Sus scrofa: one gene and its partners. The protein of the gene in region 1 binds, or shares a complex with, the protein of each later gene. Links are inferred from orthologs where the notes say so. Each region holds a gene or a part of one and is shown in the gene's direction. Other genes may lie near its edges.

Region 1 (3,509 bases):
CATGGAAACATCTCAAGCCATCCATAACCCATTTTTCAAAGACTCCTTAAGACCTATAACTATTTTGGGACATGGTTTTCAAGACCAGCTTCTTGGTTGGCAGCTCGCTTGTTTCTGTCGTCCCAGAAAACCCCTGCCACCCCCGACTCCGGAGCCAGGAAGCCCACTGCTTGCAAGCCGTCTTGGCAGCACCCTCTGTCCCCTCCCGGCGCCCGCCTGTATTTGCAGAATGTCCCCAGGCCGGGCCCCATGCTCCTGGCCGCCCCCTCCACCTGCGGTGTCCCCTTCTCTCGTGACAGAGACGGTGCGCGCCATGACCCACGTCATCAACCAGGGGATGGCCATGTATTGGGGCACGTCACGCTGGAGCTCCATGGAGATCATGGTACGCCGACCTCTTTGTGTGTGCGTCCACGGGCTGGGCTCCCGGGCCCCCCCTCTGAGCACGAAGACCCCCGGGGCTCTGGCAGACTCAGTGTCACGCAGATACCTGGGTACTTGGGGGAGCGTCAGGAAGGTGCCATGTGACAATGAGGTCTGCAGGCTTTGCAGACTGGAGCCTTGGCTTGAGTCCCAGCACTGCATGACTGATGGCTTCACCTCTCTGAGCTTCGGTTTCCCTGCCTGTAGAACAGGACTGCTGGGGCGACCCGCCCCGCAAGAGGCCGTTGTGAGGATTACCTGAGAGAACAGGTGTGATGCTCTTAGCTGAGGTCCTGGAGTTCAGCCAGCACTCAGCATGGTGCCAGGGCCAGCTGAGCTCTCACGATGTTCCCAGTGCCCTCGGACTTGAGGGCTTCGTGTGAACTAACTCCCATTTAATCCTCACAACGCTGTGTGAGGTGAGTGCTGCTTTCATCCTGTTTTCAGATGTGGACACTGAGGCACAGAGAGGTTAAGTACATGCCCAGGGTCACACAGCTCAGAGCCTGGGCTTCCCCCTCACCAGCACTTTCAAGAAAGCATCTCCTTTCCGTGTCATTTCCCTCCACGGGAGCCATCAGAAGCTGAGGGTGACAGATGTTTCATGACATTTCTGGGGTCTCTCAGAAGGGTCAGCAGGGTGGCTCCTCAGAGGCAGGCAAGGCAGCTGGTTGGTGGGGGGCAGGCAGGGGCCTGGGGACTGTGTCTTTCAGGCTGAGCCCCTCACCCCTGCCTCCAGGCTTTCTCCCAGCCTCAGCCCTTCCCATGGCCCACCTCCCAGAATTTCCCAAGTCCTGACATCCTGGGGAAGGGGTTTCTCCTCTAGTGAGCCCCGATTTCCGATTCATTTAAAAAATATATTAAGTAAGTTTTTCATTTCCAGTTAAATACCACTCTAGAAGGCCACAGGATCAATCAGCCTTTGGTGTTTGTGGCATTAATGATCAATTTGTCATTTTTCTGAAGCTGCCCAGGGCCAGCACAAAACACGCTAAGCTCAGCATCTTATCCCCACTCTACAGATGTGAAAGCTGAGTCTCAGACCAAAGGGGAAAGGGCCTCTTGGGCTGGCAGACGGGCTTCCGGGAGCCCACGCCCATCTGGTCTGCAGAGTGGAGGCCTTGAGCTCCAAGTCCCAGAACCAGGCTGAGGCCAGCCACTCCCTGCTCCTGACCGAGGGTTTTCTGCCACTGCCATCATCCTGGGTCCAGGCACTAGAGTGACAATCATGTTAAAACCGTGGACATTGGGCAGGCACTGTCCTGAGTGCTGCCAGCACCGCTGGCTCATTTGACCCTCTTGAACAGAAGGGGAACTGAGGCACGGAGGGGTGAGCCCCTTGCCCAAGACCACCTGGCCAATAAGTGCCAGAACCCAAGCCTCACTCCTGAGTTGTGCTTTCCCCCCAAATCCCTTTAGCCTTGGGGTCCCGCAATGCACCCACTTTTCACGCCTCACAGAGAGGGCAGCCTAACAGGCTCCCAGAACGGCTTGGGGATGGGGGCTGCCATCTCCTGGGGGTGCCTTTGTGTTTTCTCCCTGCTTTCAGGGAGGCCCCCCAGACCTGCTGACGGGCAGGGACCACTCTCCTTCTACAGGAGGCCTACTCCGTGGCCCGGCAGTTCAACCTGATCCCGCCCATCTGCGAGCAGGCCGAGTACCACATGTTCCAGCGCGAGAAGGTGGAGGTGCAGCTGCCAGAGCTCTTCCACAAAATAGGTGGGCTCCCCTGTCCGGCCCCGCCCTCGACCTCGCCCCGCCCCTCGCCCGGCTCTCCGCTTCCATTCGCCCCACCCATTTCCCCGGCCCTCCCCCTACCTCGCTCCACCCCTGCCCCTGCCCTGGCCCCACCCTCTCCCTCTCCTCAGCCCGTCCGGGTTCCCCTCTCCCCGGCCCTCCTTGGGGTCCCGGGCCTGACCTTGTCTTCCTTTCCTCTCCCAGGAGTGGGCGCCATGACCTGGTCCCCTCTGGCCTGCGGCATCGTTTCTGGAAAGTATGACAGTGGCATCCCGCCCTACTCGAGAGCCTCCTTGAAGGTGAAGGAGCAGCTGGGCCAGGGGAGGGCACAGGGAGGGACAGGCATTTCGAGGGTTGGGCCCTCTGGACAGATGCCCCGGTGCCGGGCAGGACTTGTGCGGGGGGTTGCAGGCATGAGAACTTAGAGGCCCAGCTGGCCTGACCCCCCCCCCCATATCTAGAAAGGCTGCCCACCTGTGGGACATCCCCCAGGGAAGAAGCCCCTCCCTCCCCAGGCCCCCTGGCCTCCACCCAGGTTCAGTGTGAACAGTCTGGGCTGGGTCCCCGAGGGCCATTTGAGATGCCTCCCCCAAGTGGTCAGTCCCACACTCTCTCTGGCCCATCCCAAGGCCTCTGGGCTGGGGGCTGCGGAGTTTCTTCACTGTCACTCAGAGGTCCCCATCCGGGACAAGACCGCCCCTCCCACCTCAGGCGCGGGGCCTCTGGATGACCTCCAGGTGGCAGGGTTTGGTGCCAAAGGAGCAGGCTGAGAAAGGCCAACCAGGCCAGGGCAGAGCCAGCACTGGCGCCCCCAGGCCCAGGTTCGAGGACAGGACAGCCCACCCCACCCGCTCCCCCCAACCACAGCAGGCCCCCCGGGGGCTCCCTGATCTGTGGACACACCTCCTGGGCTGCCAGGCCTCCTGGAGAAGGGAAGGTCGTCTTGTCCACCTCCTTGTCCTCGTCAGGGGCCCAGCCTCAGCTCCACCACAGGACCTGGTTAGGCCAGGGTCAGGGCATGCCATCTGGGCACAAATCATCCGCCATCTGCCCACAGAGGTCCCAGTGACCTGCCCTCACCTGCGGGCTGTGCTCTGTCCCCACCCCACAACCAGGGCTACCAGTGGCTGAAGGACAAGATCCTGAGTGAGGAGGGCCGGCGCCAGCAGGCCAAGCTGAAGGAGCTGCAGGCCATCGCCGAGCGCCTGGGCTGCACCCTCCCGCAGCTGGCCATAGGTAACAGGGCTGGGGACTGCTCCCCCAGGAGGACGTCAGGAGGCCTCGAGCACCTGGGCCACCCCCTCCCTCGGCCAGCCGTGGCTCCTGGGCTCCCGCATTCGTGGGGAGGG
Region 2 (4,106 bases), on another chromosome or scaffold:
GTGGGGGCTGGCGCCCAGCGCAAGGAGAGAACGGGGAAAGGGCTCGGGGACCCTCCGGGCAGTGCGGGGCGCGGGGCGGAGGGCGCAGAGAGGAGCTGGCGGGTGATGGGAAGTGCAGCTGACAGCATAACCATGTCTGGTAAATAGCGCCGGTTGGTAGGACCCGAATCACTTGGGACCGCCGGGCTGCCTTCTCCTCTCCAGCTCGGAATTAAAACGGCTTTGCGGCCGAGAAGGGCTTCTCCGCTTCCTGGGGCCGTGGGCTGCCGCGGAGCCCCAGCTCTTAGAAGGACGCTGAGATCGGGGGCAGCAGCCTGCTCCCCGCCCCCAGAGTTCAGGCTCCAGGGTTTTTGGAAGGAACTCGAACCTCGGTGGTCCCTCGGCGGGACACCAGGGGCAAAAAGAGCTGGGCTGCGCTCGGGCCGCAGCGAGAGCCCACCGGACCGGGCAGGAGGGGGTTAAGGTGGCGCTCGCTGCCGCGGCCAGCTGGTGGGTCTGGTCCACCCGCGCGGAGCGCGCCCGGCGGAATCCCGGCCGGAGCCCGGGGCGATGGGGAGAGGGCCGGGACCCCTCCCCGCCCTAGGGCCGGCAGGATTGGGCCGGCAGGGGGCCAGCCCGGAAGCCCGGAGCCTCCCGGCTCCTCCGCTCGCTGCTGCCAAGCCGCCTCACAGCCAGGCGGACTGAGCCTTGCTTCTGCGCTCCCGGCCCAAGGAGACGGGAGGGATTCTCTCTTGGGGAGAAATCGGTGGTCGAGCGCCTGCCCGGTTCAAATGCCACCCCTCCCGGAGGGAGGCCTGCCCCCCAGGAATCCCCGAGGGAGAGTAAGTCCTGGGACCAAGCCAGCCAGCTTTTGGAGGCTGACCTTTCTGTGTGAGGGGTCTCCCTGAGCCCCGAAGGAGTGATGTTGGGGGGCAAAGGATGGGGTGTGTGGTCCTTCCTCTAGGACTCTGCAGAGGTCAGAGCTTGAAGTCAGGCTGCAGTGTAGCAAGCCCTCCCCGCTGCGAGATGCTGTGTCCTGACCTGGGGGTGGGAGGGCTTTGCCCAGAGGACCAATGGGGGAATCTGGCTCAGCCAGGGGAGGCCCCTGGAGGAACCGGGCCCAGCCAAGTCTGAAGGCTCTTTTCCCGGGAGAAAATGCTTCTAACTAATGGAAGCCTGCCCAGAGGAGGCTGGGAGGCTGAGGATAGTTCTCAGGTGTGACACCAGAATGGAAGGTGGGCATGGAAGCGAAGCCACCAGAGCCCTCCTAAATCTTGGCACCAGCTGCCCCAGAGCCCCGGTTCCACCTTGCTGCTGTTTTTTCCAGGCAACGTCACACCTCCTGAGGACAGCCAGGAGGACTCCGGCTTTTGCTGAGCATTGCATCTTGCCTCCTTCCTTCCAAAGGCTTCAGACCCAAGCTAGGCTGTCCTCAAGTCCTACATGCCCCTGGCCAGGCACTCCACGGCCCCTCCAGCCCAGCCCAGCCCTGGAGCTCACCTCCAGGACCTGGAGCCTGCCCTCCTGCCCAGAATGACTCACCACTATTTCTAGCTCAAGTGAGAAGACGTGATGGGGAGTCGGGCTGCCTGTTTGTGTATCTAGGATTCCCACAGCATCAGATCAGCCCTGCGAGGAAGACAGCTGCAGATTCCTGCCTTGCCAGGTAAAGCAATCTATTGCTTAATAACAGCCATGTGCAGAGCCATTGGGATGGGGGTAGTGAGGGAGACCCAGGCCCAAGACCCGCCACGGTGCGTACCTTCCAGGGTGCAGGTATCTGCAAGATGTTAGTTCAGTGCCTGGGAGTGGCCTCCCTTCCAGCCTCTAGTGTGGGAGAAATCAGTGCTCCTCAAAGCCTGTGTAGTGCAGCGGGACCTGTACCAGCCACCTGCCCCCAGTGCAGGGCATTCCAGAGCTTTCTTGAGAGATTGCCCCCTGCTCCCCTCTGATCCACAGCCAGGTTGAAAGGGGAAAGGAAAGCTTGCTTTTTTGTCGTGGGGGTGGGGGTGGGGGTGACGTCTTTGAACTTTTGGCTGAAAAAGCGGCAACCCAGGTCCGGCTGCCAGTGCTGAGTGGTCTTATGTCCTTAACCGCCTCTGTCTTTCAGCCAAGCGGGGCTGTCCCTTCGGCTCCCAGAGAGCCCTCGGGGCTCTCCTGCAGGAGCCCAGGCCGATGCTGCTGTGTTTCCTGGGGCCATAAGCAGCACCCTGAGCTCCCTGCCGCCAGGCAGCTAGAAGGCGTAGGGAGAGGCGCTTCTCTCGGTTCCAATTATGACCGTGGCCACCGGAGACCCAGCGGACGAGGCGGCCGCCCTCCCTGGGCACCCGCAGGACACCTATGACCCAGAGGCAGACCACGAGTGCTGCGAGAGGGTGGTTATCAACATCTCGGGACTGCGGTTTGAGACCCAGCTAAAGACCTTAGCCCAGTTCCCCGAGACCCTGCTGGGGGACCCAAAGAAGCGGATGAGATACTTTGACCCCCTCCGGAACGAGTACTTTTTCGATCGGAACCGCCCGAGCTTCGATGCCATCTTGTACTACTACCAGTCTGGGGGGCGGCTGAGGCGCCCCGTGAATGTGCCCTTAGATATATTCTCCGAAGAAATCCGGTTTTATGAGCTGGGCGAGGAAGCGATGGAGATGTTTCGGGAAGATGAAGGCTACATCAAAGAGGAAGAGCGTCCTCTGCCGGAGAACGAGTTCCAGAGACAGGTGTGGCTTCTCTTCGAGTACCCAGAGAGCTCAGGGCCGGCCAGGATTATAGCTATCGTGTCTGTCATGGTCATCTTGATCTCCATCGTCAGCTTCTGCCTGGAGACGCTGCCCATATTCCGGGACGAGAACGAAGACATGCACGGCAGCGGAGTGACCTTCCACACCTACTCCAACAGCACCGTCGGCTACCAGCCGTCTACGTCCTTCACCGACCCTTTCTTCATTGTGGAGACCCTCTGCATCATCTGGTTCTCCTTTGAGTTCTTGGTGAGGTTCTTCGCCTGTCCCAGCAAGGCTGGCTTCTTCACCAACATCATGAACATCATCGACATCGTGGCCATCATCCCCTACTTCATCACCCTGGGGACAGAGCTGGCTGAGAAGCCAGAGGATGCTCAGCAGGGCCAGCAGGCCATGTCGCTGGCCATCCTCCGTGTCATCCGGTTGGTAAGAGTCTTTCGGATTTTCAAGTTGTCCAGACACTCCAAGGGTCTCCAGATTCTAGGGCAGACCCTCAAAGCCAGCATGAGAGAACTGGGCCTCCTGATATTCTTCCTCTTCATCGGGGTCATCCTCTTCTCTAGTGCTGTCTATTTCGCAGAGGCCGATGAGCGCGAGTCCCAGTTCCCCAGCATCCCGGATGCCTTCTGGTGGGCAGTCGTCTCCATGACAACTGTAGGCTATGGAGACATGGTTCCAACCACCATTGGGGGAAAGATCGTGGGGTCCCTGTGTGCAATTGCGGGTGTGTTAACCATTGCCTTACCGGTCCCTGTCATAGTGTCCAATTTCAACTACTTCTACCACCGGGAGACAGAGGGAGAGGAGCAGGCCCAGTATTTGCAAGTGACGAGCTGTCCAAAGATCCCATCCTCCCCTGACCTAAAGAAAAGTCGAAGTGCCTCTACCATTAGTAAGTCCGATTACATGGAGATCCAGGAGGGGGTAAACAACAGTAACGAGGACTTTAGGGAGGAAAACTTGAAAACAGCCAACTGTACTTTGGCTAATACAAACTATGTGAATATTACCAAAATGTTAACTGATGTCTGATTGAACCCTATCAACGTGCTCACAGCTCAAAGGAACTAATGCAGATATTGCATAACAGCCTGCATTGTAGTCAGTGTGTTTCCACAGTGTGTATCTGGTTCTGCATGGAGAGCAATAGTCGTGCAAGTGACTTTCGATCTTTTGATTTTTGATTTAGAACGCAGAATATCTATCCATGGCTTTCATGCAAATCTTCATCACCGGCTTAGGGGGTTCCAAAGACGGGAATCACCTATGGAGCCAGGATTTCAGAAGGACACATTGAGGCCACCTCATAGCAAACACAGAGCCCACCACATCAGTGTCACCTTTCCTTCCCAAGGAGAGAGATGCACACGGCATCCTGGCGATGCG
Region 3 (3,963 bases), on another chromosome or scaffold:
TCCAGACTCTCATTTGCATCAAGAATGATGAATTCCTAGCTCAGCTCAGCAACTCTCTTCCAATTCCTTGGAGGTCCAGTCCTGTTCTAAAGACATCCTCCAGGGATGTTGAAAACTTCCTGATCTTACTATGCCCTCTTAATAAAACGTTGAATTGAGGAACCTGGGATCTCATCCAGTCTGTAAATCTCTTCTGTAAGGTGACCTCCCAATGCTGAATTGGGGGCAAGCGCACTCATGTGAAGCTAGGGAGATGACAGTTTTAGAAACATTTAAAAGAAGGAAGGGGGCAAAGGGAGGGACAGGAGCAGGGTTGGAAGCCCAATATTGCTGGGACATGTCAGAAAATATTTATCCCGTCTGGCCGCAGAGCGATTTTGGGTTAGAGCTATAGCAGCAGCATAGCCTGGGGAGCAGCAGCAACCAAAACAAGGGCCTTGACAGTATTTCAATGCAAAGCTTCTTATTTCTTTTCTTTCTTAGCTTCTTTTTTTCTTCAATAAAGCCGTAGGCTAGGAAGGCAAGGGAGCATGGAGTAAGTGGGATCCAGGAATATGTGTGTGGAAGGTGGGGAAAGGGCAGTCCTTCCTAGGGGAAGGAGGAGTTTTAGGTAACTCATTGTTTGTAAAAAGAAAAGCTGGGATATGGCTCCGAAGGAGTGGAGGGAACAAATACTTATTATTATTTTTTTCTGAAAGAAATGCGGGAGTCGCAATCTGGAGGAGGGACTTAGCTAGTTCTGTACCCAGGATTGTTGCGCTGCCTGGGCAACCCCGCAGAGGCCCCCGCTTCCCTCTAGCCACAATAGAGCGGGGAGGATGCAATCTTTGGCTTTGATTAAAGAGGTGGGTAGCGGAGGCGGGAGGCATCGCGGTCGCGGTGGTGCGAAGGGGTGGTCCAAGTGCAGCGGGGGAACCAATCGGCTGCGACTCTGGGTTCTTGCAGCCTCCTTGGAGACTCGGCAGCAGTCGAAGTACCGGAGCTGCTGGCTGGCTGCTCTCCTGCTGCAGGCGCCAAGGTGCAGCGCCTCTGCGGGCGCAGCTGGAGCCGCACTCGCCGTGCACCGCGCACGCCGCCCCCGGCTTTTGCTGCCCTGCGCCCGGGTGCAGACCCTTTCCCTAAGCAGTGGCAAGACTTGCAAGTGGCCCAGTGGAGGCATTAGGCCGGAAAAAGAGGCTTCGGGAGGAGTGACGTAGGTGGGAGGTGGGCATGCAACTTGCTTCTCAGATTCATGACACTTAGCCCCAAGTTGGCAGACACGTCCATGAGCCCACGGAGCTTTTGGTTTCCCACAAGCCGCATTCTCAGTATTTCAAAATAATCTGATGGCAAGAAAACTTCAACTCCTGTAGGTCAAAGAGGGACACATTTAACACCACCGCCTCGCAGTAGCGAGACAGAGAACAAACCCTGGCGATCCTCAACTGCAGAGCCCAACCCCATGTCCGCATCTCTCCGAGGCCAGCGGGGACAGACTGGGTCCGCTCTGCAGAGAACCCCCCCCCCCGCGGGAGGGGCAAGACAGCGCGCAGAGGAGCAGATTACTGTGGGACCGCACAAACGCAAGCCCATCCGAGGAGGAGTTGTGCCAGGAACACCACCGCCTGCATTGCGTCGGACCTGCCCATTTCCAATGTGAAATTCCCGGGGAAGGTCGCGGCCGAGGACCGTGTGTGTGCGGGGCTGTGGACCACAGGGGAAGGAGAACTGGTGGTCGGCTTTTCTGGCAGGAGAAGAAAAAAGCTGTGCTGGCAAGGGTGGGAACTGAATGACATCCTCCCTCTGCCAAGCCCCCCCTCCCCTCTGCTTTTCCATCTACCTCCTCGCTCCCGCCCTCCCCCGCCCTCCCCAACCCACGCCCGGGTGGGCCAATCGCTGCTCCGCATTCCGGGCGCTTTCTCAGGTTTCTGCTGATCTTGCAGCGCCCAGAAATGGACCGAGGGGACCCGCGCCGCACGCACCCTGCCCCACTCGGAGCTCGGAACAGCTCCCGGAGCGCCGCGTAGCCTCGGCGAGGTCTGCGTGGGGGTGCGGAAAGCGGAAGGGACACGCGAGCCATGTAGATCCAGGCTTTTGCTCGCTCGCCTCCTTCGGGATCGAATCAAGGGCTCCCGCTGTGTTGGGAGGGGGCGAGAGCGCTCCGTATCGTCATTTGCTTCAGAGCTCGAGAGAGGGTGGCATTTCGCTTCTCCGCCCCACAGCCTCCGGAACTCCCCGCACCCAAAAAAGAGCGGCGTCTCCAGGTTGCTGGCCGCGGGTGAGAATGGGAGTAGGGAATGGACATTTTCGCCGTACCTGCCCAATAAAGCGACTGGTCAGCTGAAGGAACCCAGGACGAGGAGCAAGGGCGGCGCGTTGGCCCCGGCGCCCCTCGGATGCTGCGGCGGCCGCGGCTCGCGCCCGGGTACCGCAAAGGCGACCTGCCGCATTCCCACTCGGGCTCTCCGCCGACTCTGCACCGCTCCTGCGCCAAGCCGGCCGGCCAGGTAGGGGGCTCCTCAGTTCGGGGCTGCAGCGGCGGGACTTGGGGTGACGGGTGGGGGAGGCCTGGGGTGCGGGGATGCTGCCTGGACCTGGAGCTCCCCCAGCGTCTCTCGGCGCTTTCCCGATCTCTAGTTTAACGAAGTTGTAAGCAGATCGGCTCTTGGGCAGTGAGGAAAGTGGGATGGACGAGCCCCAAACTTGGTTTTCGGGTGTCTGCGTGTATCTGTCTGCGTGTATGTGATCACCCTAGCAAAAGTCCCGTGCTTTCGAAACAAGCTAGAGGTCTGTGCTCTTCCGTGTCTGTGGGTCCGTCCCATGTGAACGCTTCTGATCTTCTGCCCCCGTATCACTTTCTATTTCTCTGCAGCATCCATCGATTGCCCTGGTGGGAGCTTAGAAGGCGGCAGGCGAAGAGGGCTAGGAGGGGGGAGAGCCGAGGAGAAGCAGAGGGGGTGGCAGGCGAGGGGATCTGCTGAGCTGGCTCTGCACCGGGTCCCAGGAGGGCTCGCGGAGGGGAGGGGAGGCCAGGGTGACCTCTCAGCGATGGCCCGGTCCGCTAGAACGGCTTTGCCTTAAGGCACTCGGAGCAGGACGAAACTCCCCCCCCGCCTCCACCGCCCACCCACCCCGGCGGAAAGCTGCTTCCCGGGCGTCAGGCAAGGGGGATTTCAAACGGAGGAACAGACAGGGTGGAGGGGACCATCTCAAGGAGCGGAGTGGCGGATCTCTCCACCTGCTGGCTCGGAAGCCCCGCCCCCTGAGCGCAGGGGAGCCGCGCACACCGGTGGGGGGGGCGCGCGGGTCCCCCCCACCCCGCCTCCCTCGCCCCTCCCCGCCCCAGGCCCGCCCCGGGTCTCCCGCCGCCGCCGCCGCCGCCGCTGCCGCCGCCCCCGGCTTCCACCATGACGGTGATGTCGGGAGAGAACGTGGACGAGGCTTCGGCCGCCCCAGGCCACCCCCAGGACGGCAGCTACCCGCGGCCGGCCGAGCACGACGACCACGAGTGCTGCGAGCGCGTGGTCATCAACATCTCCGGGCTGCGCTTCGAGACGCAGCTCAAGACGCTGGCGCAGTTCCCCAACACGCTGCTGGGCAACCCTAAGAAACGCATGCGCTACTTCGACCCCCTGAGGAACGAGTACTTCTTCGACCGCAACCGGCCCAGCTTCGACGCCATCCTCTACTACTACCAGTCCGGGGGCCGGCTGCGGAGGCCGGTCAACGTGCCGCTGGACATGTTCTCCGAGGAGATCAAGTTTTACGAACTGGGTGAGGAGGCCATGGAGAAGTTCCGGGAGGACGAGGGCTTCATCAAGGAGGAGGAGCGCCCCCTGCCCGAGAAGGAGTACCAGCGCCAGGTGTGGCTGCTCTTCGAGTACCCCGAGAGCTCGGGGCCCGCCCGGGTCATCGCCATCGTCTCGGTCATGGTCATCCTCATCTCCATCGTCATCTTTTGCCTGGAGACGCTGCCCGAGCTGA
Region 4 (4,270 bases), on another chromosome or scaffold:
ACAAAGAATCACTTGTTGGGGCATCTGATTCAACAAACGGGTATACTGAGTTCCTACTATTTATCAGGCTTGTTGGGAATTGCTAGGAATATAAATTGGATAAGATCTGGCTCTGCCCTAGAGAACCTGAGAGTTGGGAGTGGAAGCAGTGGCCACAAATCACTCTCACTTCAAGTCAAATTGTCAGCTAAAGTATGACTGGTGAGGGAGTTGTCTATACAACAGTCCCCCTTTTGTAAAATGATTTGAATGCTACAATGGAAAACACATTTTTTAAGCCTAGGGTTGACTCTACACGGCATTGCTAAAACGTCTGGAAAGAGAAATTATGTTCAAAGTGACCGCAACATTTTGAAGAAATACTTTGTTCAAAGGGGATAACTGTAAGTCATTATCTCCAGGCCAAAATCAAGCAAGAGCTCCAAGCTGCAGAATGAGGGTTCTCCCTGTTTCACAACCAGAGAGTGGCAAATTCTCTCCAACGAGGCAAGGCCGGCCTTGGGACATCAGAGAATACCGGTCTGGCTCCTGTCCCATCACAGACTTAAGATGTGAATTTCCTTTTTCATGTTCCTCTTATTCCCCCCACCCCCCGACAGGGCTGCCCTCGACTAATCTAACCAGAAACTTGGTCCTTGATTCTTCCTAATGGCTGAAGCCTCAGCTATGAAAGGTAGTAAGACCTATTCACCGTAGAAGCGAAGTCTCTGAATGTCTTTAATGACCGTCTTCTTCTGACTCTGGGTGCGAGTCTCATCAGCAGCCACATTATTCTGCTGGGCTTCTCACCCAAACAGGAGTTCAATTATTTACAGCCCTCCCATCCTGGCGGTGTTTCACCCTCAAGTGAGCACAAGGTGCTGGCACCCGGTTCGCCTTTTCCCCAGATCGCCCACCTGGCTTGCCACCCCTTCCGTCAGAAGCGCTGCGGTCCTACAGCGCGTCCAAGTCCTCCCTCCTCGCAGGCCTCCGCCTTAGGCCACCCGGGCCCTGTGGAGCCCCGCTCCCGCGGCGGGTCCAGGTGGAGCGTGCGGGGCGAGGAGGCCGGCGCCTGCGGGCTGCAAAGCAGCCCAGAGCCGATCGAGAAGGCTCGCGACCCGGACGCGGCCTCGGGGGGGCGGGGCCGCTTCGGCTGGGTGCGGGCTCTGCGGGGACCCTTAAATGCAAAATGGGGGCACTAGGGTGACCCAGAGGGGCGGGGAGGGCGGCGGCGAGGGGCAGAGGCGAGCGGCTACCTGGGAGCCGGGCGCGCGCCCGTGCGGTGGGCGGGAATCCGGAGGGGACGCGGAGGGGCGGGAGCGCGGCCCGCGGGGGGAGAGGGCGGAGGGGAGGGCGCGGGGGAGAGGAGGAGGGAGGAGGAGGGAGGAGGGAGGGAGGAGGAGGGAGGAGGGAGGGAGGAGGAGGGAGGAGGAGGGCGGGGAGGGCTGAGGAGGCGTCTCTTTGGAGCATCCCGCCGGCCCGCGCCAGACTCAGACCCAGCCTCGCGGCGGCTGCAGCCGCAGCAACAGGCGGCGGGCTCGCCAAGGGGCGGAGGCGGCGAAGGGGCGGGGAGCGCGAGGAGGAGCGAGCTGGTCCCGCGCCGCCGCCTCTTCCCCGCCGCATGGACGAGCACCTCAGCCTCCTGCGCTCGCCGCCGCCGCCGCCCTCAACCCGCCACCGCGCCCACCCTCCGCAGCACCCGGCGAGCCGCGGCGGTGGCGGCGGCGGCGGCGGCGGTGGTGGTGGCGACGCCCACACGCTGGTGAACCCCGGCTACGCCGAGCCCGCCGCGGGCCCCGAGCTGCCGCCCGACATGACGGTGGTGCCTGGGGACCACCTGCTGGAGCCTGAGGCCGCCGACGGCGGCGGGGACCCGCCTCAGGGCGGCTGCGGCGGTGGCGGCGGCTGCGACCGCTACGAGCCGCTGCCGCCCGCGCTGCCGGCCGCCGGGGAGCAGGACTGCTGCGGGGAGCGCGTGGTCATCAATATCTCCGGGCTGCGCTTCGAGACGCAGCTCAAGACCCTCTGCCAGTTCCCGGAGACGCTGCTGGGCGACCCCAAGCGGCGCATGAGGTACTTCGACCCGCTCCGCAACGAGTACTTCTTCGACCGCAACCGGCCCAGCTTCGACGCCATCCTCTACTACTATCAGTCCGGGGGGCGCATCCGCCGGCCGGTCAATGTGCCCATCGACATCTTCTCCGAGGAGATCCGCTTCTACCAGCTGGGCGAGGAGGCCATGGAGAAGTTCCGCGAGGACGAGGGCTTCCTGCGGGAGGAGGAGCGGCCCCTGCCCCGCCGCGATTTCCAGCGCCAGGTGTGGCTGCTCTTCGAGTACCCGGAGAGCTCCGGACCCGCCCGGGGCATCGCCATCGTGTCGGTGCTCGTCATCCTCATCTCCATCGTCATCTTCTGCCTGGAGACGCTGCCCGAGTTCCGCGACGAGAAGTACTACACCGCCTCGCCGTCGCAGGAGCTGTTTGAGGGGGGCAGCAACAGCACGTCGGGGGCCCCCGCGGGGAACTCCAGCTTCTCGGATCCCTTCTTCGTGGTGGAGACCCTGTGCATCATCTGGTTCTCCTTTGAGCTGCTGGTGCGGTTCTTCGCCTGCCCCAGCAAAGCCACCTTCTCGCGAAATATCATGAACCTGATAGACATCGTGGCCATCATCCCGTATTTCATCACTCTGGGCACCGAGCTGGCCGAGCGACAGGGCAATGGACAGCAAGCCATGTCCCTGGCCATCCTGAGGGTCATCCGGCTGGTGCGGGTCTTCCGCATCTTCAAGCTCTCGCGCCACTCCAAGGGGCTGCAGATCCTGGGCCAGACGCTGAAGGCTTCCATGCGGGAGTTGGGGCTGCTCATCTTCTTCCTCTTCATCGGCGTCATCCTTTTCTCCAGCGCGGTCTACTTTGCTGAGGCAGACGACCCCACTTCAGGTTTTAGCAGTATCCCGGATGCCTTCTGGTGGGCTGTGGTAACCATGACAACGGTAGGCTACGGTGACATGCACCCGGTGACCATAGGGGGCAAGATTGTAGGGTCACTCTGTGCCATCGCTGGTGTCTTGACCATTGCTTTGCCAGTCCCTGTGATCGTCTCCAACTTCAATTACTTCTATCACCGGGAGACGGAAGGGGAAGAGCAAGCCCAGTACATGCACGTGGGAAGTTGCCAGCACCTCTCCTCTTCAGCCGAGGAGCTCCGGAAAGCGAGGAGTAACTCCACTCTGAGTAAGTCGGAGTATATGGTGATCGAAGAGGGGGGTATGAACCATAGCGCTTTCCCCCAGACCCCCTTCAAAACGGGCAATTCCACGGCCACTTGCACCACGAACAATAATCCCAACTCCTGTGTCAACATCAAAAAGATATTCACCGATGTTTAACATATAAAACAAGTGACATGCTGTGCTCGGTATTGTGTGGACCGTGCCCCCTTGGTCTGTGTATGCCCTTGTTTTATACATTTCCAGACCATTCATCAAGGAAAGGACACGAAGAAGTGGAAAGCACTCTTCATTCTCCCTTCTCCCTACTGCTTCATACTGAAACAGGTGTCTGTTTTGCCAGTGGGCTGCATTCTCTCCGCTCTCCCTCCCCCTTTTTCTTTCCTCTCCTTCTCTTAATATTTTGGACGACAAACTTACTTTAAACTTGATTTTTAGCACACGCTCTGTTAAAAAAAAAAAAACAACTGTACATCCTGGGAGGAAATGAAACTAAAGAACAGTTAGAGTAACTGTTTAACCTCATAATCGAAAGGCAGTTGTTTCTTTACTAAGTAAAGCAAGCACATACATAAATGATGCTTTCTTTTGATGGACACTTCCAACATTATTGAATATTTCGTTCAGTTGCCTACACTGTGGATATGTGGATGAAAAGTCTTAATTGGAACTGTGACTTGTAAACCCACCGTAAGTTTATTTGGTTTTCACCCGGAATTTCTATTTGGAACCCGCCCCCTCCTGGAATTTTAAGGATCTCTGCAACTCTGAACAAAGGGAAATGCCCAAGATGTCCTGATCTAATTAGTTTAATTCTTTGGGACTTGTTAAGCATTTCAAAAGAATTAGACTAAGAGATTCCTGTGAAATTCTGTGTGTGTTCCAGCTAACATCCATCAAAGTCTAGAAACAGATGTTTTCAGTGCTGCTGAGAGAAACAAAAAAATGTCCTAATGCATCTGAGAGATAAGCTTCTGCAGTATCACAAGAAGATTAAAGTGGCAGACACTCCTTCCAGCGGAAGTTACTAATTCGGACCTGACTGATGCAGTTCCCATAGCA

The links. Proteins that work in one complex are often made in the same cells at the same time.
Region 2: the proteins of KCNAB2 (region 1) and KCNA2 are in contact, whole or in part, in a crystal structure (PDB 5WIE), measured with the Rattus norvegicus proteins. The link is inferred for Sus scrofa from reciprocal best matches to the Homo sapiens genes KCNAB2 and KCNA2. Residues at the interface, in NP_059000.1 of Rattus norvegicus: Met193, Met196, Tyr199, Ser200, Arg203, Glu231, His234, Lys235, Ile236; in NP_037102.1 of Rattus norvegicus: Asp28, Glu33, Pro62, Met66, Phe69, Asp70, Pro71, Leu72, Arg73, Asn74, Tyr76.
Region 3: the proteins of KCNAB2 (region 1) and KCNA1 are in contact, whole or in part, in a crystal structure (PDB 1EXB), measured with the Rattus norvegicus proteins. The link is inferred for Sus scrofa from reciprocal best matches to the Homo sapiens genes KCNAB2 and KCNA1. Residues at the interface, in NP_059000.1 of Rattus norvegicus: Met196, Tyr199, Ser200, Arg203, Glu231, Lys235, Ile236; in NP_775118.1 of Rattus norvegicus: Glu37, Met70, Phe73, Asp74, Pro75, Leu76, Asn78, Tyr80.
Region 4: the proteins of KCNAB2 (region 1) and KCNA3 are in contact, whole or in part, in a cryo-EM structure (PDB 7EJ2), measured with the Homo sapiens proteins. The link is inferred for Sus scrofa from reciprocal best matches to the Homo sapiens genes KCNAB2 and KCNA3. Residues at the interface, in NP_001186789.1 of Homo sapiens: Met196, Tyr199, Ser200, Arg203, Glu231, His234, Lys235, Ile236; in NP_002223.3 of Homo sapiens: Pro133, Met137, Phe140, Pro142, Leu143, Asn145, Tyr147.

The regions. Positions count from the first base shown.
Region 1 is NC_010448.4:67,008,377-67,011,885, forward strand, and holds part of KCNAB2 (voltage-gated potassium channel subunit beta-2), read left to right. Parts: intron 1-299; coding exon 300-385; intron 386-2,021; coding exon 2,022-2,142; intron 2,143-2,364; coding exon 2,365-2,459; intron 2,460-3,275; coding exon 3,276-3,396; intron 3,397-3,509.
Region 2 is NC_010446.5:109,556,667-109,560,772, forward strand, and holds the start of KCNA2 (potassium voltage-gated channel subfamily A member 2), read left to right. Parts: upstream 1-1,306; 5' UTR 1,307-1,645; intron 1,646-2,089; 5' UTR 2,090-2,252; coding exon 2,253-3,752; 3' UTR 3,753-4,106. UniProt on the Homo sapiens protein: Voltage-gated potassium channel that mediates transmembrane potassium transport in excitable membranes, primarily in the brain and the central nervous system, but also in the cardiovascular system.
Region 3 is NC_010447.5:65,563,081-65,567,043, reverse strand, and holds the start of KCNA1 (potassium voltage-gated channel subfamily A member 1), read left to right. Parts: upstream 1-1,163; 5' UTR 1,164-2,486; intron 2,487-2,851; 5' UTR 2,852-3,386; coding exon 3,387-3,963. UniProt on the Homo sapiens protein: Voltage-gated potassium channel that mediates transmembrane potassium transport in excitable membranes, primarily in the brain and the central nervous system, but also in the kidney.
Region 4 is NC_010446.5:109,493,750-109,498,019, forward strand, and holds the start of KCNA3 (potassium voltage-gated channel subfamily A member 3), read left to right. Parts: upstream 1-1,470; 5' UTR 1,471-1,600; coding exon 1,601-3,367; 3' UTR 3,368-4,270.